3 linked regions of the Bombyx mori genome follow. The protein of the gene in region 1 purifies or fractionates together with the protein of each later gene. This does not show direct contact. Links are inferred from orthologs where the notes say so. Each region holds a gene or a part of one and is shown on either strand. Other genes may lie near its edges. The genes, in order: U2 small nuclear ribonucleoprotein auxiliary factor 2, pre-mRNA-processing factor 19 and cleavage and polyadenylation specificity factor subunit 6.

Region 1 (3,763 bases):
TCATATTCTGTATTAAAATTTACCTAAAGTTGAATTCTTTGCGCCTATACTGGCACGTTGCACAATCAACTTTTTATCTCCAAGTTGCATTCCATTTAAACCTGCAATAGCCTGTGAAAATAAAATTAATTTATGATTTAAAGTTTTTTTAAAAATTAAATTGGCCTTAACTATGCAAAAGCCAATAAATTAATAAATTGGGTGACATAATGATTATTTACCTGATCTGTCATAGAAATGTCGACATATTCAGCAAAAGCATAGCCTTTGCTCAACCCAGTTGAAGAGTCTTTCACCAAATTGAAGGCCCGGAGTTGACCAAATGACATGAGTAATTCCTTTACCTGTTTCATGACAAAATTAGTGAGCAAATAATAATCTTTTAATTCCCAGCATTGTATTAATTTACGTTACATATTCATAATGATCAGCATAGACATTTCTAATGCTAATGTTTTTTGTATTGTATGTTTGAATTGTTGTGTTCCCATTAAATCTGTTCATCAAAATGCAGCAAATTACATAAGTGAATTATGCTATCTGACCTGTGTCTAGCCGCATGTTAGAATCAGATGTGAATGGAAGAGACTTGCCTTGAAGTGCCGATGTCTCGTTCAAGTACAAGACGTATAGATGAGAATGAGAGACAACAGTGACACGCGGGCCGCGAATGTGCCAAATCTAAGCTAGGGAGGGCAGAAAGCAAACTATATCAGTGAGTTGTTTGAGAACATCCGAGCGTGGTACGCACACGCTCGTCCACGCTACGGGTACCTGAAAATACCTGAAACGGACCAAAACATAACGCGGCTCACTGCTGGCGTCACCGGGGCCTAAGTCCTGTCAACTGTTGAATCTCGGCCTGAAATTGTTGCGGCATCTAGTACGCTATAACTACCTACTGGGAACGAACAAACTCATGGTTCTTTTAATGTCCTAACATTACCTAAAGTAGGATTTTGAAATAACTATTATAGTCCAAAATACTTGAATTTGTCGATCTAAGAGAATTCTATGTTTATCATAACCAACATAATTATTATTTCCATTTTGTCTGGTCAAAACCTGTAACACACAACTCTACAAATCACAATGAGAGAAGAATGTTGTATAATATAACCATTTTTTTATTATCAAAAGGTTTCTTTTAGTGGGAAACATAAATCAACCATAATTTATGTGAATTGAGTTTTCATTTGGTTTAAAAATAAAAACTTTTTGGTAAGTAGTACTTATAAATAATAGCTTAATTTGATCACATCAAAAATACAGAAAATAAGTACCTCTACTTTAATCCAAAAACCATGTGTAGCTTTAAAAAACTCCAAACTTGATTTTGATCATGATGTGATTAAATTATGGTTTCTTGAATGCTTAATTTCAACTATAAATTTTAATAGATAAAACAAGGAACTTACTTGGTCCTCATTTAGATAATTAGGCAATCCCCCTATAAAGATCTTGTGTGGGGAATCAGGTACAACAGTGCTAATAACACCAGCTGTAACAAAATAATATTTGAATGAAGACACTAGTAATGAGTATTTTAGTTGTAATTAATGCTGTTTCAAGAGTTTAAAAAGAGCTGTAGAATTATAACAACAAAATTCAGTTTATTTTAAATATTGCATTTTCTTAATAAAAAATAGCACTTTCAATCGAGTTCAAGACTCATTACTTGATAGATAAATCTATAGTATCTTCTAATGTAGTTTAAATGTATTTTTATAAGAAAAGTTGTTTGTAATAACAATATCACAATATCATAATTACTTACCAGGCACATTTATTGCTGGGTTTTCAGTGCCTGGCATAGGCTGGTAGTCATGTGGACGTCGAATCTTTAAGCTTTGCCCTTTAAAATTAATACCGTCAAAAGCCATTGCCTGTGTCGTTTCATCAATTGATCTGAATTCAAGGAATGCAAAATTTTTATCTAAATTAATCTGGCAAGCCAAAACAGGGTTGCCGGCGGCCTGGGCCAGGCCCGATAGATGCATTTGTTGATTGAAAAACTCCATTGTTTCTTCTTCGGTGACGCCAAAGGGTATGTTGCCGACATATAACCTTCGCGCTTGACGTGTTATAGTCGAACCCACCACCGGCACGGCAGCTTGTGGTGTGTCGGCGACAATATTGGCAGGAATCTGACCCGCCGCTTGCATCGCCTTGTATTGTAATGGCGTGATATGCTCGAATCCCGGCGGCGGTACATCCCAGTAAAGCGAAGGCTTACGTCTACGTGAACGTTTATTGGGCGATCTTGATCTGCTTTTTCTTTTTTCTCTTCGTTCTCTAGATCGAGATCTAGAACGTTTTCTTTCTCGGGATCGAGACCTTCGTCGGCGGTCTGTAATATTTGTGAGCATTTTATTTTATAACCTCACTTCAAAACTTTACAAGATAGATATGTGAACTACTTACCTTTATCTTCCCCCATCTTATTTACGGAAATATGTAATACAGTAACTATTTCTTGAGATAGTAATAAAGGCGCTTCAGCGTTATTAGTATAATTAGCGTTGGCATCAACATAAAATCTAAGTCAGTTTCCGTGAAATGGCGTCTGTTATTTTTTTATACGGACGTTGGTTACTCGACTTTTGGCTAATGATGCTATAGTGAATTTCCTGATACGTAATCATCACTAAAATCCTATGCTTGCCCTAGGACAAATTTCGGACGCGAACGCAGAACTGGTGTTTCCTCAAGTATAAATGTGTAATAATGATAGCTAATTAATCATTGATGTGCCTTTGGAAAACATACAGCATTGTATTATGAAGAAGCAGTGTGTACTTAGCTTAGATTCCTTGTCTATGTCCAACCATAGACAGTCAATTTAGTTCCATCTTTAGCCGCTAGGTGCTGCCAGCAAGTATAAAGGGAGCGCAGCCATCTTTGATCTTCATAGCGTTGTGTACTTTCGTACTGTGAAGTCGCAAGTCCACAAATATTTATTCGACTTCTTATTAATTGCAAAAAATATTTATTTTGTGTTTCTATGAGTGTTATTTTGCAATCATTACGAGTATTATTTACCAATCCTATCATCGGACGCCATGAATCACGCGTCATCTGTTGGAGGTGATGTTGAGTCAAGCTCCATAATTTCCGAGAGGGAAGATGTCCAGGCGAGACGCGATGGAGACGCCTCGCGTTCGAACAGCTCGTCAAGCGAAAAAGAACAAAAGGAGTCTCTGCGTAAGAAACGACGGGATTCAAAGGTAACGGTCGATCTTCGAATCGGCTCGTTATCCCACCAGGTCAGTGACGTTGTAAATCTAATAATGCATCAACTGTGTGTAACAATTGAATGTAACGAAAATTGTTGTAAACAAATTGATCTCGTCAATACGGAAATTTTGACAAAAACACAACAGATTTAAACTAATAATCTTTGTAACATAATTACTGAAAACTTTGACAAATCGTCTCCGTCGTACAAGTTACCCGTAAAAAGCGTTTTAAATTGTATACGGAAAAAAGGGCCGTATGTATAGAAATAAGACGTCAAAGTTTAATTTCCGTGGTCTCTAACAAAGTATCCTGTTGCCAACGCGCCACTCATTGAGGAATTTTTGTTTGATAATAGTAAATTGAAATCTATTCAGTCCCTCGGAGGGCTACAATCCTATTTGTCACGATCTCGTACAAAAGGTAAGCCAAACATTATAAACAATCATAGTCCGTAACATCTGGCACAATCCAGAGGGGGGCAATTGAAGACACCGACGGCACTGAGGCACTGAGTGCCACCAAA
Region 2 (2,852 bases), on another chromosome or scaffold:
TCATTTTGCAGGAGTTCAATGAACTCCATCACCTTGGTGTTGTTCCAATCCATGATGAAGGTGCGCTACACAGTAGACGTCACGTACTATGAAAATGGCGAAACGTCCGTTACCTTCGCAATCGTGGGCACAAATGGTCACACGAATGTGTGGGAGACTTCGCGAAGGATCGCAGTTCGCGCGCTTTGATGTCCTTTAAAAACCGACACAGCTTCGAAAACCACGAATGCAGCGAAAACTTTGCATAATACTTTGCAAATGTCGTCCTACACTTGTGGGTTTGCGTATTCGTGCGAATGTGAGTGACCGGTATAATAGTCATAACAGTATTTGTATAATTTGTACTTTGTTCTGTTGAAACAATAAACACAATAAAAGCACTTAACATTAGCGGCTCAGGAACGAGTAGAGTAGTTGCTGAACACACACTGATTGTTCAATTATTATTTTTCATTGAAAACATAATTGAACTTTTTTTTTTTTCAGGCAATCATGATTGCTGCTGATATAATTTAGGTGAGGTTTGCAAGAGCATGAGTGATGGATGCGTTGAACCCCAATGTAAGGAAACAGAAATAATATCTGAAGATTTTAATTCCAGTTATTACATTTTAATTTGAAATGCACATTTTACAGCAATTAAAAAGCGAGCCATCCATCTAAACTTATATCTATTCTTATTCTATCCCGTAAAGTTTGAGCGTCCGGTCCATGCTGGTGGAAGCGAGATACTGTGCGTTCTTTCCGAACCTGACACCGGTGGCCGAAGCAGTGTGATCATTGAACACCTTCAATTCCTGCCACTGTCTGCACAAGTAGACCCTCACATCAGTACCGGCTATGGCTAAATATGTACCGCTTTGGTCGAAACACAACTCTTTGATAGCATAGTTTTCTTCCAACTGAATGGTCTTAAAGTTCTTTAGTTTTCTCAAATCCCATAATTTAACGCATGAGTCTTCAGCAGCTGTGGCTAAATAGTACCCATTCTCCGAGAAGGAAATGGAAGTAACTGGTCCTACGTGACCAGGGAAATTGGCTACATTGCTTTGCTCCTTTAGATCCCAAATCTTCACTTGTGAGTTTTCCGTTCCAGTACCAAAAATGAGACCGTCCGGATGGAATTGTGCAGTTGTGAGACTCACTCCAGAAAAGTCACTGACTTTTGTCAGAAGTTGTCCGGTGCGAATGTCTGAGAACGCCCAGTGTTGGTCTGAAGAGGTTGAGAGTACATAGTCTCCGGTTGGATGCAGGGACAGGCCGGTCACTGGACCGTCGTGAGAACGTAGTATTGCCGTTGTTTGAGATCTGAAACAATTTCAAGATAAATAAATAACGTAATAGTTATTTGATTTTACTTAGTTGAATGAAATTATTTTGAATATTTTAATGTAAGCACCTAGCTGTTGATTTACAATGGTTGATTAAGAAGCTAATTCCCAAGACAGATTAAAAAATCCATTATTGCCTATTCCCAGTAGTAAATAAAAATAATAAAAAAAATCACAGATTTCCTTTATGTAATGAACATGACCTTTGATTTTTTTACATTTACGGAGTTTAGGTAAATAAGCAAAATTTTCTCCATATCATTCTTTTGGTATCTCCATACTCACGTTGGCACATTCCAAACCCGTATGGTATGATCTGGTGAGGCTGTGATGACCGTATCTTCATCCGGATGGTATATAACCCTGGTGACTTTCTTGGTGTGACCTTTGAGAATGGCCACAACTTGTTCAGTATCCTTATTAAAGACTGTTGCGTTACGATCGTTTCCTCCAGTCAAAAGTTTACTGTGATCGGATGGATTGATGTCCAGAGATAGGATACCAGGAACACTGGCTGAATGAAGACCCTGAAAATAACATAGATGATATAAAAAAATTAAAATACTTAACCATTATCAAAGTATGTCAGCCCTACTTTTAGATAATTGTAGTGCATGACTGAAGTCCCTTCTAGAAGTGTGTTGGATCACAATATAGTAGTAAATATGCAATTTTACAAATTCTGTACATTTTATTTGCGATTTCACGGCCCAACTGGTGTAAGTGGTCACTGGAGCATGGGATATCACAACATGAATGGTGCCAACCCACACAAACATATGAGGTCTAAGTCTTAGTTTTATAGTAGAAAGAGTGTCCCACACTTCCAATTGATACCCATTAATTCATGGTGAAGTCAGTTGGGTCGTGTTACAATAAGTGCGACCACCACGATAATGTTATCCCTTAATCCAATTAATTCCTGTACATATGTTAGGACACTTAAGTGTTTTCTTAGAAAAATTGGTACCTGTTAGGAAACTTTCACCTCAGCATAGTCAATATGAGTACACTGAGTGTTTTAGCATTTCACCACCCACACTTATATTTGTGACCCCCTATTATAATTTCTAGAGGTAACTATTGTTTACTTATTTCGAAAGGCTATTATTGCACAGCGCTAGATACATACAGGATGCGATGCGAGAGTGAGGAATGCTCTGATCTGCTCTGGTGCCAGCAGTCCCTCGGGCAGGGTGCGGCCTCGGCGCTTCCGTTCCTGCGTGAGTGCGGTGGCGCGCTCCTGCAGACGAGACACCACGTCCGCAGACATGCCTGTTGCTCCCGCACTGCCTGCTGACGCCTCCGTCTGGACAAAATAATTAATTTAAAATGATGCATCTAAAATCAGTGACACATTAGGGTAGCTACTTGTCTATACTGGTGGTCCCGCAGTAGTCGAAATTCGACTATAATTAATTGAAATTATACGTTTGAACATTATTATGATTCTATTGTCAAAGACTATTTATTATACTTCTATAATCACAGATTTCGCCAAGACTAGACCATAGACAAATA
Region 3 (3,763 bases), on another chromosome or scaffold:
TATAGCAAAGTATAACAGTTTATATTCTACACAATTTTAATTTTCTATTACCATGAAGGAGTTACTAACTAAATACAACCAATTTCATTACAAACCTTTTCTTTACCATTTATTAATGCATTGCTAGATTTCAAAATTCACCTACCATTAATTAATCGGTAAATGCTCTAAATCCGTAACTCAAACTGTATCACCATGTGTGATTGTAAATAGCTCTGATATTCAATTGTCCTTTCGGAATTTCTCAACTTCATTAAGAAAATAAAATTCTAGTGAATGTCACATACATTTCAAAGTTTAAGTGGAAAATAGTGATCTAATTTGACATGTAAAGCTCGTGATATTTTTATGAAAATTTCAGTTTCACCTCAACAGATCGTAATTGTACAAGCCTTTAAAAACAAAAACAAGTCATTTCTTCATCATGAAGTAAAAAATAAAGAAAATTCTGGTTTTTGCTTTTTTCTTAGCAGAATTTAACTGCAAGTTCATGACTTTGAACATGAAGTTCCAAGTTAAATTTTACTAAAACACAAAAATCCGTAACTCACAGCATATCAACCATTTGTATAATTTTCTTATACTTACCATCATCAACAACAAAAATATAATTTTAATAAAGTGATATTTAATGATAACAATTAGCAACCAAATAATGTACTAATTTATTAAGGGCTTTTCCATGGAATTGTACCAGTATCAAATCCAAACTTTTTTTTATTTTTTAGTTTTCCCAAAAATATTTTATTTGAACTATATATTATAATTATTAATATATGTATTTGAAGACTGGTATTTTAAAACATCTTAGGATACATTGATCAAGTACATAATTATAGCACTAACAGTATTTTTATACTGAAACCGGATGATTTTTCAAGTTTTAAAGTTAAACATACAATTTCCTGCTTAATCTCATAACAGTTGTAATGACAGGTCTCGCGCTTACTTATTATATTTATTCACTTATAGTTTCTGATTATGTATTTCGCAAAGTTTATCATTATATTACTAATCCTATGTTTAAACAATTGAAAACAAATTTAACAATTTTTAAATCAATTTAACAAGTACCTCATTGTTACAGTTTTTTCCAGGTTTATTGATAATTTAAACTAACAATTGTTTTTTTTAACTTATAATTATTTAAGACTGAGAGCCGTACACACCTTTATCTACTACTAGTTATGGACAGACTAAATTCCCGTGAAACATTAAAGCACACATTTGTTTGATATTTGTACATAATACAATTTCATGGAAAAACACTTGTTTTCTATCAAAATTTAGCTCTTCACCAATATAGATTGACTGTGCCTTTTTTTGTAAAATAATTATAAATAAATACAGTATTTTCTTGGTATTATTAGTTTAACACATAATATAAGATATAGGTTGCTTTTTGTTTCATTAATTCAGTACAACAAACATTTATCTATGTGATCAGTAAAACTTAATGTGCAGTGATTTTGTGAATTTAAATTTTAAACATAATTTGTTAACATTTGTATAAAAGATAAATGTGTGTTGCAAAATTAAAAGTAGATCCTAACAAATATTAAAAATTAAATATTTCGTAACTCATTTTACACAACAGATCCATTTGGTTGCTGTTGCTTGAGTTGTCATCTGAACAGGTTTTTAAGTTCTCCACATTCTGTTTTTAAACGTACATACTACTTTAATATTTCTATAAATATATTATTTACAAGTACGTTGTTTTATTATAACTATCATAGTTTCATAGATCTGTTACTATAAAACTGTTAGCTATTATTTACTATATTTTATGTATTATACACAATAATAAATGTATGTACTTCATATTTTGTTTTATTGAAGTTAACATGCCATCATAATAACAATTATTGAGCTTGAACTAAACGCAAAAAACTATTTAATCTAGCTTTATGCTAACCAAAAACCATTTTTTTTAAATAACTTTATGAACGATAGCTCAAATTCAATTGCATGTGCTATTTTTATCATGGCATGGCGGCTAATAGATGCAAATCAATAATTATTGATAGTATGAAGCCCTGAAAGACGAGATGACAACTCAAAAGATATCAGTTTTTCAGTACAACGCAAAAACTAATATCGTACTTATATTTACAAATAGTCTAGGACAAAAAAGTACGAACCCATGTTAGGTTGCCGACGTAAAGTTGAAAACGGCGGCCATGATGTCCGTGAACCGGGCCGTGGTATGAGGCGTTGCCGTTAGTTTCCTCAGGTGGATGCTGGTTTGGAGCAATGATGGGAGGACCGTCACCGTCCTCGGGCTTCGAAGCTGGTGCTGAGATCACGTCGTCATATAAATCCACATTTTCGCCAGCAAATTCATCCTGTAAAATGCCGCCATTCATCGTGACAAAAATAGATTAACAACTGTTACGATTTCTCTATAAGAGTTATCTGTAAGGTTTAGGTGTACTGAATTAGGAGAGTGTAAATTTTACCTGGCGATTAAAATCGGATTCTATATCATCGGCGTACAAATCTATATCGACATCGCCGTCCGCCATTTTACGAAGTTGTGAAAAAATGCTACCTCCTACTTACGACCCCATGAAATTTTTTTTTTAAGAGATTTTATGACCTGGTAACTAAGACCTTTAAGTCATGTCTTATTTTACTTTATTTTCTTAATTTTATGAAAAATGATAATATGGAGTGAAATGAAATGAAGATGATTAATTTGAGACATTAATCAACTGGGATGAAATTTAATGAAATGAGATGATATGGGATGAAATATAATCGCAGTAAAATGGTGGTCATTTACTGAGATTTTTTTAGTGGACTTTTTGGAGGAACCCGAGAAGTTACGTCCAGCAGCTTTGTTTCATTTTCCCACATTTGTGCACTTTCACAGATATTAAACAGTTAATAAACCACCATTATTACACATTTAAACCTGAAGAAACACTAAATAGACAAAATAAAACAAATCACACAACTTCACTCCTCGCGTTCCCGCCAAAAAGTCCCGACCCCATGAATTTGGGTCAATGTTGCCAAGCTAACACAATATTTTCGAATTCCCACGTAAAATGGTCGTGTTGAAAATGTTTTCAAAATTATTTTGGGCACATTTTTAGTGTACAAAAAAAAAAAAAAACAAAAATTATGTACATTAAACAACTATTATTTTTTAGGTTTAAGGCTTAAAAAATTATATTAGCTACATATAAGTAATAGTTGAAGGTTTAAAATTGAAAATAACTATTACTTTTGTTACTTATGAAACTGATTTAGCCTATACCGATACAAAAAAAAGTAAAGTAAAAGTTTAAAAGAATATGAATAGTAGCCAACTACACTTTTAAAAACACGTACGGGGGAGGCCATAAGAGAAAACTCTCGGCAAATTGTCTTTCGCATTTGATCAGTAAGTAAAGTAAGCACTGGTTTTTGCCACCCAATGAGCAATGATCTGAAACTGACGTAGAATAAGAGTGTTAAAAATACAAACATGTTTGATGATATTTCTGGCGATCTTATATATTATTATAGACAAAATTACTCAATTACAAAAAAGTCAACTTGATCAAGGTGTTCTATATTTGATATGTATAATTTGTATCCTACGGACGATAATTGTAGTAGTTATTGGAAACGTTGCTTGAAACTCTATTAATACATTAAAACCTTTCATAGCATACCTATATGTTCATAAAACTGGTGTAAATCTGGATTGAAGTAAATGTTCAATTTGGGCACCAGTCATCAGCTATTGAAAAAGGTATCATTTCTTGAT

The links.
Region 2: the proteins of U2 small nuclear ribonucleoprotein auxiliary factor 2 (region 1) and pre-mRNA-processing factor 19 purify together in Homo sapiens (affinity purification with western blotting; 3 studies listed by BioGRID, with this or other methods). This does not show direct contact. The link is inferred for Bombyx mori from reciprocal best matches to the Homo sapiens genes U2AF2 and PRPF19.
Region 3: the proteins of U2 small nuclear ribonucleoprotein auxiliary factor 2 (region 1) and cleavage and polyadenylation specificity factor subunit 6 fractionate together in Homo sapiens (co-fractionation; 3 studies listed by BioGRID, with this or other methods). This does not show direct contact. The link is inferred for Bombyx mori from reciprocal best matches to the Homo sapiens genes U2AF2 and CPSF6.

What each region holds. Positions count from the first base shown.
Region 1 is NC_085123.1:10,727,773-10,731,535, reverse strand, and holds the start of U2 small nuclear ribonucleoprotein auxiliary factor 2, read right to left. Parts: upstream 2,566-3,763; 5' UTR 2,441-2,565; coding exon 2,425-2,440; intron 2,351-2,424; coding exon 1,778-2,350; intron 1,502-1,777; coding exon 1,419-1,501; intron 345-1,418; coding exon 222-344; intron 112-221; coding exon 24-111; intron 1-23. UniProt on the Homo sapiens protein: Plays a role in pre-mRNA splicing and 3'-end processing. By recruiting PRPF19 and the PRP19C/Prp19 complex/NTC/Nineteen complex to the RNA polymerase II C-terminal domain (CTD), and thereby pre-mRNA, may couple transcription to splicing.
Region 2 is NC_085116.1:17,083,858-17,086,709, reverse strand, and holds the end of pre-mRNA-processing factor 19, read right to left. Parts: intron 2,641-2,852; coding exon 2,464-2,640; intron 1,859-2,463; coding exon 1,617-1,858; intron 1,309-1,616; coding exon 678-1,308; 3' UTR 577-677; downstream 1-576. UniProt on the Homo sapiens protein: Ubiquitin-protein ligase which is a core component of several complexes mainly involved pre-mRNA splicing and DNA repair. Required for pre-mRNA splicing as component of the spliceosome.
Region 3 is NC_085120.1:8,928,654-8,932,416, forward strand, and holds the start of cleavage and polyadenylation specificity factor subunit 6, read right to left. Parts: upstream 2,623-3,763; 5' UTR 2,529-2,622; coding exon 2,463-2,528; intron 2,349-2,462; coding exon 2,145-2,348; intron 1-2,144. UniProt on the Homo sapiens protein: Component of the cleavage factor Im (CFIm) complex that functions as an activator of the pre-mRNA 3'-end cleavage and polyadenylation processing required for the maturation of pre-mRNA into functional mRNAs.